Caenorhabditis elegans: one gene and its partner. The protein of the gene in region 1 purifies or fractionates together with the protein of each later gene. This does not show direct contact. Each region holds a gene or a part of one and is shown on either strand. Other genes may lie near its edges. The genes, in order: zhp-1 and R03H10.2.

Region 1 (7,668 bases):
ATCTCTAAAATGAGAAAATTCGATTTTTGTAATTTTTTTTTCAATTTTGAGATATTTCAAAAAAATACCTTTAAATTTTGGTAATTTTTCTTCTTTTTAGATGTTGCAATCTTGCAAATATTTCAGATAGTTTTACGAAAATTCTTCAAAATAAAATTTTGCAAACAAGAAAAATATTTAGATGTCTAGTCATCTAGTTTCCATCTAGTCTCCGTGTGAGGTCCTACAGTACCATTGTGCTTATCTGTCTGCGTCTCTTGCCTGCCTTTCTTGTCTATAACTCTCTAACCATTAAAATATCTCAAAAATTTTCAGACTCGATTATAGTTCTATTGCATCCACCATTGCCGTTCATTCTTCTTCTTCCGACATAGTCTTCAGTTTCAACCAAAATCTGCCAATGTTCCTTTCAAAACGATTGTGCCCTTTTCTCATCGAGTTGTGAAATAATATAAATTTTTTGTTTCTTTTTTTCACTATTTTTCCGCTTCCAAATTCAAATTTGGCTTTAGTTTCAACTTTCCAACATTCGGAATTTTCCAGTCAAGACCCGACCCTCCTTCTCTCCACGAAATTGTGATTGATTTGTCCCCCTCGCCGATTAGTATCCACCCGCAATAAAATTTTATAATTTAAAATTATTTATGCTACAAAAACTAATGTATCTAATTTAATTTTTTTATCTCTTCCCTCTTATCTTTGCCTCGAACTTTTTTGTAATTTATTATTTTTCAATTTTTCAAATCCCCTCTCCAACCACCCCGGCTTTCTTCTCATCGATGTTTTACAGACGAAATAAAAAGATTTTCCAACTTAAAACTTTGATTTTCTTTGCTTTCTTTTGGTTTTAAGTCGCTTTTTCAATATTTGAATAAACATTTTCAGCATCAGAACTTGAAAATATTTCAGATGAGCAAAGAAAATGAGCAGAATAGTCCGCAATTTCTATCATTATGGCAGAATTCGGAAAATTTTGCAAAATTGGAATCACATGCCGTCAATAGAGGATTGGTGGCAGCGGCGAGGTGAAAAAATGCAAAAAAAAAACAAAAATCTTTTAATCCAACAAAAAATCAATTTATTTTCAGTTTCTGAGACCCTCAAGGATATTTTTTAAACATGCAAAAACACCTTTAAGGGGTACTGTAGTCTCGAACTGTCAATTTTTGCAGAGCTCTCCTAGATTTTCATTGTTTCTCTCCCATTCCAAATTTTTTTTGAAAATTTTTTATTTGAAAAACTGAAGTAAAACGCGCAAAAACGAGGAGTTGGAAACTACAGTAGTCTTTGAAGGCGCGCATACATTTGAAAAATTGCTCGTGTCGAGACCGGATACCGTATGTTTTCTGATGTTCTCATTTAAAAAAAAATTACAGTTTAGAAATCAATTCTTTTGTGAAATAAATCAATTTCAGCCAAATTATTTTTTCAAAAAGTCGAAAAAAAAAAAAATTTTCAACTATTTACTTCAGAGATGCCTCAACAGATCCATCAAATCGTTCAACACTATGGCAGAATCTATCTTCAATGTCTTCAGCTGATCAAGCTCATTTGATGAGTCGCCTCTCATCAACATGGCCATTTCGAGATGAGCGAAGAGCATTAACATGGCCAGTTCACGCTGGTTTAGTAGCTAATTGTGTCACTTCTTCACTTATTGGTTTGTATTTTTAGAAAAACTTCAAAATTTCTGACGATAATTTTGATTTTCAGCCACTCGGATCAACTCTGAAATGTTCCTTTATGATGCGAAAGCTAAATTCTTTGAATCAATCCGAAAGTGTCCGAAATCTCCATTTGTATTTGGAGTTTATTCCTCTGGTGTTACATATTTCATGCTTCATCAGGTTTCTTTTTTCCGTATTTCAAACATACAGTAACGCAATAATTTCAGGTTCTTGTAACACCTAAAGTCTACAATGAGCTTACACCATGTCCATCGTGTCTTGTCATTAATAGTATTGCTATTGGATTATTAACAGGAATTGCTCTTCCGATGCTTGCAACTCCATATTTGGCACATTATGTTCTGATCAATAGGGAAGCGAATACAGGAGGAAGTTCTAGAGCAATGCCAGTTGTCAATAATTTATTAGAGTTCTTGACTCTAGGATGGGAAGGTATATCGAATGTAAAATATAAATGCAATTTATTCTACTCTTAATTTTTCAGGCTCCAAACCCGCTCGTCCTGTAATTGCCATGTGTGCTGCCATTCAAATGATCGTCAGTTTTGGTTCAATGTACGCGATGCTCTGGGGTCGTGAACGAATGTTCAACACTCTTGAACTGGACTCCGATTTGGCACGTCGTCTTGTTGCTGAAGCGCAAACATCATCCTCACTTAAGCAGAAGATTCTCGATTTTCTACGAAAGATTCCGCTCGTCAACGGGGCGATTCCAGAAGCACCGGAAAATGAACGTGTCGCTTGATTTATCTAGTCCTAGATTTAGTTTTTTTTCAAATCATATCGTTTTTATTTTTGTTGTTTGTTTGAAAATAAAATTTTAATTGATTTTGTAATTTTTTCGATCCCCTTTCATCCAATTGATGGTGTCACGTTTTGCTCTGGATATGTGGGAAGAAGATAAATCAAGCATTTTTATGTTTATAGCTGAAAAATAAAACTATGGTCATCTATATTACAGATTATGTTAAAACAGAGATCCTCCACGATTCGATTGAGACGAGCAGTTGGATGATGATGAATCAGATCGATTCCTCAATCCTAGAAGATCCTGAAAAAGCAACTTTAGGAACAGAAAAATCAATGATATCAGCATACATAATCGAGCAATTCGTCATTATCTACATCTGAACCAGCAACGGAAGGATTTGAAGAAGTTGGAGTACCTTGCATGAAAAACTCGTCATCATCGATATCACGAGAACTGGCAACTTTCAGTTCGAGAGCACTGATTCTAAAATAGAAATCAATATTTAGATTAAATTTCGATCAGGGAATACATACAAATTCCGAAGCTTCTCGTTCTCGCGTTCAATATCTTCAAGCTTCTTACGATTATTTTCCTCAAAACTTGTTAGCTTCGACAATTGACAGTGCATTTCCTCCGTCTTTTTCTCAACTTTCTTGGTTTGTTCTTTTCGCATAACTGACTGAAATAAAGCGTTTTAATTCTGGAAACTTAAAAAAAGAGTGTTACTTTTTTGTTTTCCATTTTCAATTGAATTGACTTCTGAATTTTTTGAAAGCCAATAACTCGAGCGAGGCGTTTGTGAATATCCGTACTCATCACACCCACATCGCCGAACATTTTCTTCACATTCTTCGGCAGACTTGCATCCATTTTGAGAGTTTTTGTCGGGATTTTACACAAATGACAAAAGTCAGCAGTGGGAGTTGTTCGGCATGTTTCACAGAAGACGTGGGAGCAGGCGGTGATAAAAAATTGTCTTTTACTTGGCGAGCATCCACATCCATTGCAAACGATGAACTCCATAGTGCCTACAGTTCTGAAATAAATGCAAATTGTTATTTTTGAACCATGTTTGGAACGATTAAACTTCTAAAACATCATAGAATACAGGGAGCTCTCCCGGGAGAAAAGCACGAATTGCTTTTTAAAAAAACACAAATTTAAAGGAGCTTTCGAACAAACAACGCGTGGGTCCCGCACCGATCGCCATTTTCAAGTACGGTATTGCGTTGGCATTGCTGGCATTCACTTTTCCGGTTTCTTCGTCTGTTTGTGACAGTTTTTCGATAATTTTCAGCAATTTTCATATTAGTCTTATCTCAAATTTAATGAATATAGTTAGAAAATCTGTAATATTAACTAAAAAGTAGGATTTTGATAAATGTTAGACTTGTTTTAGAGATAGAAAAATGATCTCCATTTGATCTAGCCGCCAAAAAATAAATTATTCTTTCTTCATCATTCATCCAAATCCACCCTACAATGTTTAATGCCGAGACACCTCGAAACTGTATTTTTTCCGTACAACTTTCATTTTCTCCTAGATTTTCTCTGGACGCTTCGCATCTGTTATCTTTTTCGTTTGTTTTTCACAGCGTGTTATCCTCTGTAGTAAATGACATGTGGATAATCTTGGCCCCTCTTCATATTTTTTTTTCAGATCTAATATTGCAATAGTAATAAGATGTCTCCTCATCCACCACAACCGCATCCACCGATGCCTCCAATGCCACCAGTCACTGCTCCACCAGGAACTATGCCTCCAATGCCTCCAGTTCCCGCCGATGCTCAAAAGCTTCATCAAATCACTGGCAACGACGCATGCATCAAACGTTTGCAACAGTTAAAAGTATATCTCTGTGCATTTAAAAATATTTCTAATGTCCTATTTGCAGGTTGAGAATGGCGCGAAAATGTACATGAAGCCAGCCGAACCTGGACAATTGGGTAGAAAAGTGGATATTCAAACTAATATCTTCGGAGTTAAAGTGACAAAGGAAACCACTGTCCACCGTTTTATGGTTCACGCAAAGGCCAATTTGACTCCAACTAACTAGGGAATGGTGTTACCCCTGCAATCGCTAGGAGGACAAAACAAAGTGAAAATGGAAGATCAGATCTATGGCTACAAGAATCAGTTTTTGGAATCTGCTTAACTCGGTCCCAAAGCTGAAATTTTCGGTCTTAAAAAGTAGTCCTTTTTTTGCTCAAAATGCCGTTTTTCGTGTGTAGAAGTGGCTACATAAAAGTTTGGCACTGCAGCCGCCGTTCGAATGGCCGATTGGTGAACTCTTGTGCTCATTAATCTAAAGGTCACGGGTTCGTTCCCCACTAGGTATTAATTTTTTTTTGAATTTTTCCTCTAGCATGAAATATGCACAAAAACACGGTTTCTTCAAAGTGAAAATTTATCAAAAAAAGAAAACTTCCAAAAAGTTTCCAAATTACTTTTATGGTTCCCAGGAACCAAAAAATTTATTCCGAAGTTACCAAAAAACGGAAGAAACCGTGTTTTTGTGCATATTTCATGCTAGAGGAAAAATTCAAAAAAAAATTAATACCTAGTGGGGAACGAACCCGTGACCTTTAGATTAATGAGCATAAGAGTTCACCAATCGGCCATTCGAACGGCGGCTGCAGTGCCAAACTTTTATGTAGCCACTTCTACACACGAAAAACGGCATTTTGAGCAAAAAAGGACTACTTTTTAAGACCGAAAATTTCAGCTTTGGGACCGAGTTAAGCAGATTTCAAAAACTGATTCTTGTAGCCATAGATCTGATCTTCCATTTTCACTTTGTTTTGTCCTCCTAGCGATTGCAGGGGTAACACCATTCCCTAGTAAGGAAGTGACGTTCACCAAAAAAGGGAAAGAAGATTTCGTCGTTCTTGACCGTCGCGATAAATGCTGCAACTTATTTTTCCATGCCGTGGAGAAAAATCCTGAATTCTTCAAAATGAAGGACGGAAATCAGATTGTTTATGACGGCCAATCAACTCTCTACACAACTGTCAACTTGTTCTCAGAACTGGATGCCAACGGTACGAAGTCCAAAGTCTTCCAAATCAACGGAGCTGATATCAACAATGACGACCTTAAGACGTTGCCTTGCATCTCTCTCGAGATTTATGCCCCACGAAACAACTCGATCACGCTCTCTGCTGAAAATCTGAGCAAGCGTACTGCTGATCAAAACATTGAAGTGAACAATCGGGAATACACTCAATTCTTGGAACTTGCTTTGAATCAACATTGCGTGAGAGAAACGTAAGTGAATTTAGGAAAGTCTTGAAAAACATTTCTTCATTCTAGAAAACGTTTCGGATGCTTCGAGCACGGAAAGGTATATTTCCTCAACGCCACCGAGGAAGGATTTGATCAGCGAGACTGTGTCGACGTCGGCGATGGAAAACAGCTTTATCCCGGTCTCAAAAAGGCAATTCAATTCATCGAAGGTCCTTATGGTCGTGGACAGAACAATCCATCTGTCGTGATTGATGGAATGAAAGCTGCGTTCCACAAAGAACAAACTGTGATCCAAAAACTGTACGAAATCACGGGACAAGATCCTTCAAATGGAATCAATAATATGGCCCGTGAGAAAGCCGCGGCAGTGATGAAAGGACTTGATTGCTATTCGACGTATACAAACAGAAAGCGCCATCTAAGAATCGAAGGGATCTTTCACGAAAGTGCCTCAAAGACCAGGTTCGAGTTGCCCGATGGAAAAACGTGCTCAATCGCCGAGTATTATGCGGACAAATACAAGATCACTCTACAATATCCGAACGCCAATTTGGTGGTTTGTAAGGATCGAGGCAACAACAATTACTTCCCGGCTGAACTGATGACCATTTCAAGAAATCAACGTGTGACCATTCCTCAGCAAACTGGCAATCAATCTCAAAAGACAACGAAGGAGTGCGCGGTTCTTCCTGATGTTCGTCAGAGAATAATCATTACCGGTAAAAATGCTGTCAACATTTCACTCGAGAATGAGTTGCTCGTCGCTCTCGGAATCAAAGTTTACTCGGAGCCTCTGATGGTCAGTTTGTGCAAATCGTTAAAAAACATTGATTTTCTTTCTCCAGGTTGAAGCGCGTGAGCTCGACGGAAAAGAGCTCGTATACCAGAGATCGGTAATGTCGGAAATGGGAAAGTGGCGTGCACCTCCAGGATGGTTTGTAAAACCCGCGAAGGTTCCAGAGTTATGGGCTCTTTACGCTGTTGGTAATCAAGGATGCAGATTCTCCAGTGGTGACGTGAAGTAAGATTGATAGAAATTTATTTGAATCGATTAAATTATTTAGTCAACTTGCCGGAATGTTCGTTGATTCTTGAAAGAAGAAAGGTATGACGATCAAGCCACCATGTGAAACGGGCCTTTTCCATACGGATAAAATCATGGATCAGCTGGAGAAAGTAGCTGCGAGCGGTTGCAAATATGTCTTGGTGATCACTGATGACGCAATCACTCATCTCCACAGTAAGTTGTTTTCGTTCCTTAAGTGTTCACTTTCCATTGAAAAATTTCAGAGCGGTACAAAGCATTGGAACAGAAATCGAGGATGACTATCCAGGATATGAAAATCTCCAAAGCCAATGCTGTTGTCAAGGATGGAAAGAGATTGACTTTGGAGAACATCATCAACAAAACCAACCTGAAGTTAGGTGGCCTCAACTACACCGTTTCGGATTCCAAAAAAAGCATGACCGACGAACAATTGATCATCGGAGTTGGTGTTTCTGCCCCACCGGCTGGAACGAAGTTCATGATGGACAATAAAGGACATCTTAATCCGCAAATCATTGGTTTCGCTTCAAATGCTGTTGCAAACCATGAGTTTGTAGGCGATTTCGTCTTGGCTCCTTCAACACAGGATGTAATTGATTTAGATTTTCGAGAGTTTTATAATATAATTTTTACAGACAATGGCTTCAATTGAAGACGTATTGCAAAATTCAATTGATTTGTTTGAGTCGAGCCGCAAAACATTGCCAAAACGTATTATTATCTACAGGAGTGGAGCATCGGAGGGTTCTCATGCTTCTATTCTGGCTTATGAAATCCCACTGGCTCGTGCCATCATTCATGGATACTCGAAAGATATCAAATTAATTTACATCGTCGTCACTAAGGAGCATAACTATCGCTTCTTCCGTGATCAGGTAAATTTATTTGTATCATGCTCCCTTTACCGTAACTTTTCAGCTTCGTTCGGGCGGGAA
Region 2 (9,309 bases), on another chromosome or scaffold:
TGAACTTCGATTTTGTTGTTCATTTTTTATTTTGAATGTAAAAAATCACATAAGAGATGGGGGTCAGAAACAATGAGTTCATGTTGGAACTTGCAGATAGTTGAGGGGAAATCCCCTCACATTTTTGAAAATTCAAAAAAATCCTATTTAAAAATATGTAGTACAAGAAATGTTATAAGTTGATTATGCAAATTCAATTGAAAAAAAAAACGCCAGCTACAAATAACTTTTTGGTTTTTTTGAAATACAAATTCACATCATTTTGGCCAGTGCGGTCTACCTACAATTTCAGAGAGATCTTCGGCAATTTTTTAACTAGAGTGTTTCAAAAAGGGTCTATGAACCAATACTAAAACTTACAGTTCTCTCGTTTCCAAGCACTTCAAGCTCTTTTTCAGACAACTGATATACTCCTAGGAACGGACGTTCAGCGATTTTCGAGATTTGTATCGTTTTGTCGAGGAAATCCACAATATGATCGTACACTTGCTTGTCCTTCCACACGTAACAAAGGAGCACCAGGCTTGAGATCTGCAAATTTCAATTTTTAGGTTGGGTCCCACTACGAAACTGGGAATTTGAGAACTGCAAAGAATAGCTCTAAAGTTGAAAAACTACGGAGGCTCAAAATTCGAATTAAAAAACATTTGTCCTACAAGATGTCTGGTGATAAAAATGACCCGGTTAACCTCAGCTATTTCAAAAAGGATAAGCTGAAGAAACGTGTGAAGCACCCGACAATTTTCGGGTTCCCTATAGAACCCGTGAGACGTCGGGCGCTGTAAAACAAATTTTCAAAATTTTTAGAACGTTTATCAACCAAAAAGTAGTCTCTAAACTTGACAAAATTACGAAAATCCAATAAGCGTAACAGCGTCTGACATTTGCAGGGTGGGACCCGGTATGCGTCGGACGCTTGTAATTTCCTGTTCCTTTTCAGCGCCCGACATCTTCCGGGCTGTTGGACAGACGGAACCGCTTAATGTCGTCTGCTTAACTAAAAACTGTTTTTTAAACCCGCTTCTTTATCTGCTTTATTTCCTCAGTGAGTTCAAACAATCATTCGTTAATATGTTTTCCAGCCAGCTCACCCCCTGTCATGACACATTATTTGCACTTAAATCTTCAAAAAAAAAAAATCAAACTAGAAACATAAAACTCTAGTTTTCTTGCCAAATGTTCTTAGTCATAGAGCTTTTGCCCATCATTTCTAAAATCTTAAAATTCATCATTTTTTGTTGGGTTTCCATTATTTTATTGAGGGAGTTCCGAAACTTTTATTGGATTAAAATTGCCTAATCCGATAATAGGGGGCCCCCGGTGAAAATGCTGAGGATTTTCGCTTTGTCTGGAGAAAGAATTTTGAATTTTTTGAATGGAAAATGATGTGTGAAATTGATAGGATTTATGTGAGTAATTGGGTTAATATGTTGGTAATCAAAAAACAAAAAAAAAGTTGATGAATGAGTTTTTGGAATTCGGCAACTTTGGGTTTTTTGCCTGCCTGCTTTCCTACATGCCTTTTAAAATTTTTCACAGAATATTTTTCTCTAACTGAGACCATTATGTTTTATGTTCTTTGATCCATTACAATTTTTACAATTTTCCCGTGATTACCCCCAGACATTATCAAATTTCCGCTCAACAACAAGTCGTCTAGAAGCGATTAATTATGCCTGTTCCGAACGTTCCGGATATCAGAAACTTTGTGCATTATCCCTTAAAAATTTGGCTGAAAATTTTCAAAATTTGTTCAAAAAGGTCTGTAAGCCACTACGTGACTCTTTTTTAAAACCGAAAAATCAGATGGATAAAAAATCGAGCCAAGCGGAACAGGATTTCAAGTTTTTCAGACTGAAAATAAGTCAAGTGAATCTTAAAATGTTTTGGAATATTTCTTTTCTTCCTCCTGTCCAGTCAAGAGAATCTTCTGGGGTATGAAAATTTCAAACACCAGCCATTAATTTTCAAAGTTCAAGTAAACGAGATTCTCATGAAATTAGAGAAAATTATAGGGCAAAACTGCGCACAAATTGGCTCGGGCTTTTGCAGGAAACCCGATTTTTTCTGGAATAAAAAGTTTCAATTTGATCTTTCAGCCGGCAATTATGTTGGTCAAAACAGAGTAATTTGGAAATTGTAGGCTTTGAAATTTTGGAAGGTTTGACGAGAATTCAGAAAAAAAGGTATCAAAAACTACAAATTCGGAAGAAAATGAGGCCGAGTTCTTGGGCTTAGAACGTTGGGCAAACCCTTGACGTTTAGGCTTAGGCTTAGAATTATGCATAGGCTTGGGATTTAGGCTCAGTCTTAGGCTTGGGCATATGTTTAGGCTTGAGTTGAGGCTTAGGCTTAGTCTTAGGCTTACGCTGAAGCTCAAACTTAGGCCTTTAAACTAGGGCCTTTAGATTTAGTCTCAGGCTTCTTTCTTCACGGTTACTATTAGGCTTAAGCTTGGTTCAAGACTTTTGGCATACACCTCATCCAAAGCTGAGCTTTGATTTTTTTCAAAAAAACGTTTTCCCATTTCTAGAAACATCAAAAGTTCTGCTCCCTTACAGTACCCCTTCTCAAGCAAGCTTTGCTCGAGAAACCTCGTGGTACCCTTTTCCCCTCCAAAAAATCTTGCTGATTAATTAGCTCCTATGACTCCTCTCTATTCATCTTCTTCTGACTTCTTCTTGTTCACCCGTCTCTCGCCTCATGACCATGCTCGGTTGGATGGATAACGCGGGGCGGAGCCAATTATCACCAGAGCACACGGGTGCCTATATAAGCAAGAGCAAGAGAACACACTGATAATACTCTAATCTCTTGAGTTTTTCAAATTCTTCAATTGCTCTAATTTCTAAATTCTCTACAAAATGTTCCACATCAATCAAGACATTCTCACCAACGTCGATGCTCACCGCTCCCCAGCAGTCAAGGCTGCAATCCAGAGGACTATCGAGGAGAAGCGACGTGGGTTCCGCAGATGTGTATCTGCATTTTATTAAGCTTCTTGGAAAGCTCCTCTATGAGCCCTAACTGTTCTAAATATCTGTACAAAAATCTACACAAGCCGCCTTCACGGGTCTCTCCACATTCGAACTACTATTTTTTTCCGGTTTTGTTTTTTAAATGTTATTTTGTTGTTTTTTCTTCATTGTTTTTTGAATTGTTGTAGACTCTAGAAACCCTTACTTTCTTTGTATATATTGAACCAAAATTGACATTAAAGCTTCCAAAAAAAGTAATAAATTACATTTTTATATATCAAAAGTGTCTTGTTTTTTCTAGGGATTTTCAGGGTTTTCAGATAATTTCAGATGCTTAAAAGTGAACAACAAGATGAAAAATTCATAACAAAGAAGCGAGAGTACCGAAAAGTTTCAGATTTTTTCAGATTTCAGAAATTTTAGGAACAGGACTGGCTAGACTAGGGCTAGACTTATGCGTTGGCCATAGGCTTATGGTCAGGTTTAGGTCTATAGCCATGTTTGGGCCTAGGACTAGATTTAGGCCCAAGACTAGGCATTAACCTAGGACTAAGGGCTAGGCTTAAGGCTAGCTCTAGGTTTAGGCTTTGAGCTAGGCCATCAGGATTCACAACTTCGGTTAGTAGATGTTAAGCATTTCAAGGTTGCAAGAGCTGGCACTTAAGCTTCTAACCTAAGTATGGTCTTCAGATATGTATTTAGGCTTAGACACCTGCTTATGCCTAGTTCTAGGCTCAGGAGTAGGCCTAAACCGAGTCTCAGGTTTAGGACTACCACTAAGCTAGCTTTTTCTAAACTATATTTTTCACTACGAAAAGGAGAAAATCCTAGTTTGTAGTTAACATATTTTTCCGACACAGACTCACAGATTCAAAGATTCAATTATTTCTCTAATAGACCATATCACTATTCGAACCCAACTTTTCTGACTTCCTCTTCACTTTTTGATCTAACAAAAACTTTTGATCTATCTAACTAGCACCTATTCATAATGTATTTACAGCTGCAGAGGGTGTTTATTAAGAATAACCGAGTAATCAGGTCATAGATTCTTTTGAGTTCCCGAAACATTTTGTGATTCAGTCAGATTTGGTTCTAAAATTGAGTTATGAGTCAGGAAGTATTTTGGGAATCCGAAACGTTTGGGCTTATACCTTCAGGCTAAGGCTTGGGCTTTTTTGCTTAGGACCCTAGGCCAAGGCCCTTGGGATTAAGTCTTTCGACTTAATCCCAAGGGCTTTTCGACACATCCCATCCAGGCTATCAGGCGTAGGCCTTCAAATGTAGGCCTTCAAGTTGAGTCTTTCAGGCTCAGCTCTTTGGCTTAATATCTGTAGACTCATGCTTCAAAAATTCACTCTTCAATTTTGTCTTTTCGAAATTTCGTTTTGCAGTTTTCACAAGGTTTCGTGCATTTTTGTTATTTATTTATTTGTATACCTAGTATCTCATTAGTAATAATCTTTTTCCAGTTAAACCAAAAAAAAAATTTATAATCTTCCCGGAACCCCCTTCCCAGCTTATTTTAATCCTATTAATAATTCGGTTTAAAGCTCAGTGTACCGGAAAGTTCCAATCCCAAAAAAGTTTGAAAATAAGCACACAACATATTTCTTTTTGCAAAAATGTGAAGCAGTATTCATGTGCATATAATCTTCTTTTTTTTCCTTTTTCGAAACAAACTTTTTCTCATATCCGGTTCACTAAAGATAGCAGATGGATTCCGGCCAAGTGTGACCGCGGTCGGATTTTGAACTTAAATTTTTTGGGGAAAATTTGAAAAACTAACCGCCACTGCCAATGCCAGTGCCATAACCAAAAACATTCCGACAGATTCTCTCCAAGTCTGTGCGCCTTTAAACGTGACTTTTGGGTTATTCGACACTGTCCGAATCGGTGGAGCAGGGGGTAGTTGAGGAGGCGTTTTTGGCTCCGAATCGAAATCGAAATCCATTTCTGCAGATAATTTTGAAAATTAACTGTAAATACTTTTAGCAAAGTTGGAATAAAAACTTAAGGAACAAAAGACAATGTGAAAATAAAAAAGAAAAAAACAATTTTTTTTCTAAAGAAAAATGTTGCAAACGTTGTTTGGAAATTTTTTTATTCAATATCGAAATTTCCAATTCCCGAAATTTTACATTAAAATCTATAAGCCTAGAAGTTTACAAGCTTAAATAAAATGCGTCATGAAGTTGTTAAAAAACTATAGTCTTTGCAACAAAAAAAACATTAAAAATTTAGAGAACAAGCCTAAGTCTAAGCCTAGCCTAAGCCTAACTCTAAGCCGAAGCCGAAGCCGAAGCCTAAGCTTAAGCCTAATCCTAAGCCTAAGGATAAGCCTAAGCCTAAGCGTAAGCCTAAGCGTAAGCCTAAGCGTAAGCCTAAGCGTAAGCGTAAGCCTAAGCCTAAGCCTAAGCCTAAGCTTCACCATAAGCCTAAGTCTAAGCCTAAGCCTAAGTTCAAGCCGAAGCCTAAGCCTAAACCCAAGCCTAAACCCAAGCCTAAGCTTAAACCTAAGCCTAAGCCCAAGCCAAATCCATTCCTGAACTGTCCAGCTAATAAAAAGTATGTGTTAACAGCTTCATAAATCCAACAACCGACTAGTGAAAATGTGGTAATCTATCTTCCGGAGAGAATCTACTTCAGGTTTCCAACGTCAAACGCATATTAGTATATACTAATACGATAATAGGAAAACGAACGGAATGGAAGGGAAGAAGAAGACAGGTGGTAGTAGTGGAGAAGAAGCATCAGGAAAAGAGAAGAATATGACAAAACGGGAGACAGGCTTCTGGTACTAACCGACAGAAAGAAGAGAGAGAGAGAAAGAGACCACCTGCAGGGAATATACAGTCAAAATCTACTTATCGCACTTTTATGGGTGGACATATGTGTGTTCGGAAATGCATCGCTGGTTTGTTGTGTGAGGCATTCCGAAAAAGGAACATGTAAGGTTTTTGAGGGAGAGAAATGAGTCAACACTTAACTTTTGTGAGATGCGTTTAGAAGACGAAAAGGGAAGGTAATGAAGGACCCGAGACAAGTAAGGTCACTAGGAATAAGGTGGAGGGGTACACCGGAAAACTGAAACATAGAAAATAGAAAATTGCCTTAACCCAAAAAATAGAAAAAAAGTTTCACAAAAATCTCTGAAATTTTTGAATTTAGAAAAACTCAAGTATTAAACAACTCCACCATCTTGTAAATATATTACTCAGACGCAAAATTGCAAAATTTTAATTAATTTTGCAATTTTCCGCCAAAAATGTGATACCCGGCCTCGATACGACTAATGTTAGTTAAATGCCAAAAAGTGTGCGTCTTTAAAGAGTACTGTAATTTATCTTTTTGGAATTTTCATCAATTTTCAGTTTTGTGCACTTATTTATTTTTTTGAAAAAAATGTGAGAAATCTATGTAAATTAAATAGAAAAAAACACTGCAGAATTTATTTAGGGTAAAATTATAGTACTCTGTAAAGACGCATAGTTTTCCGAATTTGAGAAAATTTGTCGTTTATTGTTTTTTTCTCAAAAATAGCAAACTTAACGTCCGGATAATGTTTTTTCGTCATATTTGAATTATTATTTTTTTTTTAAATTCTTAAACAAAATTGGTATGTAAAATACAAATAATGTTTGAAAAAGTCAACAATTAAAAAGAAAATTCAGAAATTTTTGGCTTTCCGCTAAAACACCCTAAAATGTTACACCAATATTATAGAAAATCGATAGCTTTTATAAATTTTTAATATAAAATGTCTTCTTCTTACCTAATTTAACAAAAACATTAATGCAAATTCGCTCCGCCGACAATAAAAGATTTCAAATTTCACACGAAAAAAAAAATCAATAAACACACAAAAGTATGCAAAATCGAAAACAAACGAAGATAAAAGTCTGCGACCTTCGTAAGTATAATTAATGCATAGTGCCCCCTCCCGTTCGGGATAAAAGCGGTAGAAAGGTGTGTTAGTAGTCTGTGGTCCCTTGGTAACCAGAAAAAGAGACATAGAAGGAGAGAGTGGGAAATTAGAGGTAATCGGGTTGGAAAAGTGGCCACCAAAGGACAGGAGACTCTATGGGTATTAAAGGTCATTTAGGGGGGAAAGGGAATTAGAGGATTTCAAATTTAAAAAGAACTTTCAAACTGTAATTGGCTGAAAATAGGTCAACTAATGAGGAAGGTGTTCAGGAAAATTAGCTGCAATGAAGTTAAACAATTTTGGAACAACTACATACATGCGGTTAAGGCTTAGGTTTGGACTTAGGCTTAGGCTTAGGCTTAGGTTTAGGCATAGGCTTAGGCTTAGACTTAGCTTTAGGCTGAGGCTTAGAATGAGGCTAAGGCTTAGGCTTACGCTTAATCTTAGACTTAGGCTTAAACTTAGGCCTACGCTTAGACTTACGCTTACGATTACGCTTACGCTTCGGCTTACGCTTAGTTTCAATCTCAGGTGTTCGCTTAAAAAGTGCCTAACTGCCGAGTCTACCTCGTTTGAATTTCAAAAATGAGTCATCATGAGACAGGTATAAAGACGGATGACCGGACGGGGTAGACAATAAAAGTGACCCCCCCCCCCCCCTTTCTGCATCTCCCTAGTCACCAGCAGCCTACCCCATCACTTAATTTCATTCTCCTTCTTCTCCTCCGGAGGAGGTGGATAATTCGAAACGAATTGACAGGACAACTGGAGACTTTCATTTTTCAACCAAGCCATAGCCTCGCCGACGGGACGAACGTTGTGATGATTCTTGAGATTCTCATCGGTGAATAGTAAATGTGTGAGATAAATATCGAAGATTGTTTGAAAATTAGAAATTAATACGGTTAATTAGGTAGGAACAGCAAAAATTAGAAGAAAAATGTGAGAAAATTCGCAAAAAAGATTGCGATCGAAATTATCTGGGTTCTTCCTGTTTTTAGCGTTGCTCTGCATAGATAAGCGCACAAAATTTTAATTTTTAGGGTATTAATCTGAAATAGGCAGCTAAATAAAACTTTTCGAAATGGTTTGTACCAGTTGGTGGGGGGTAGGAAATAACAGTGGCAAGGACATAAAGGGTGACTGCTTGATTTATGACACCCTGAGAGAAACAATTGAAATCGGCAAACGTGGTCAACATATAAGGTAACCTTAACTAGGTATATTTGTTGGGTAGAAAAATATTCAAATTCTAATTTTAGAATTATTTCGAAGATCAAAAAGAAAAGGGCTTGAATTGATGCGAGTTCCGCCTGGACCAATTTTAAGCTGGAATAGATTCAAATCTAGAGCTTGGTGAATTCCAATAATTCTGAGAAAGTTTAAACTTGAACACATACCACGGGAAGAGCTTGAGCATAAGCCTGAACCGAAACCTTGGCAAAAGCAGAAACTTTGGCATAAGCGTAAGCGTAAGCCTAAGCTTGAATCTAAGCCTAAGCTTGAATCTAAGCCTAAGCATAAGCCTAAACCTAAGCCTAAGCCTGAGCCTAAACCTAGGCCCATGCTTAAGCCGGTAAAAGCCTAGGCATGCACTTTTGCAGAAAAATAATGTTTGTTGTCCAAAAAATAACTTTTAAAACGGTCGCAAGTAAGAAACGAAAACGCCAACAAAATGAGTAAGAGGATATTCAAATTGGGGCCACACACCCACACACCCATACAAACCATTCCCCCGAGAAGGGGGCACTGTGTCGATGATCTGCAATTGAGAAGCCAGGCGGTATACTGTTCACTCTTTACGCCTGCGTCTCTTTGAAATGCGATATGATCTCCATCCACCACCTAGTCAAGGACAACTCTCTCCCATACCATTGGACCGTAGCAGTAGAAGACCTGAAGACATGTCTTCTCGTAAACGGTTGAGCGCCCCATCTCGCCTTCCGCAGAAGGTCGCCTACAGCTGCGGTGTGTGTGTGGTGGGAATAAAGGAAAGAAAACGGTGATGGAGAAAAACAAAGATGAAGAAAAATGATTGGGAGAGTGACCGTCTCGAGGTGATAGGAAAATGGAAACATTTTAAGAGGAAGGGGTGTTGCCGTCCATGCTCCGACCAATCAGCAGCGTAGGTCACGCCTTTTGCAGATCGCTGATTAGTTAGCAGTCTTGTAATTAGAGCGCTTTTTTTGAATATTTTTTATTCAAATGGTCAAAATTACGAGTAGCAAGTTACTTTTTTTGTGTTTTTCCATCTTCAGTTTCATTCAAATTTCCTGCCAACTTCCCCTGAACGTCCTGAATGACCCTGTGATTTGGCCCGTTTTTTTTCATGGTCTAGGATTCAACAAATGATGGAATGACCTCGCGAATGTGGTGATGATCCTGATGAAAATGACACTCACT

The links.
Region 2: the proteins of zhp-1 (region 1) and R03H10.2 fractionate together in Caenorhabditis elegans (co-fractionation; one large-scale study listed by BioGRID). This does not show direct contact.

Annotation. Positions count from the first base shown.
Region 1 is NC_003279.8:5,364,356-5,372,023, forward strand, and holds zhp-1 (Zip homologous protein 1), read right to left. Parts: upstream 3,475-7,668; 5' UTR 3,462-3,474; coding exon 3,165-3,461; intron 3,118-3,164; coding exon 2,972-3,117; intron 2,922-2,971; coding exon 2,786-2,921; intron 2,739-2,785; coding exon 2,655-2,738; 3' UTR 2,593-2,654; downstream 1-2,592. Other genes in the region: F55A12.2 (uncharacterized protein), read left to right, coding at 910-1,025, 1,473-1,660, 1,714-1,847, 1,895-2,120, 2,173-2,432. UniProt on the Caenorhabditis elegans protein: Recruited co-dependently with zhp-2 to the synaptonemal complex between homologous chromosome pairs to regulate the formation and number of crossover events between homologs during meiotic recombination.
Region 2 is NC_003280.10:4,151,398-4,160,706, reverse strand, and holds the start of R03H10.2 (uncharacterized protein), read right to left. Parts: upstream 4,935-9,309; 5' UTR 4,933-4,934; coding exon 4,768-4,932; intron 532-4,767; coding exon 361-531; intron 1-360.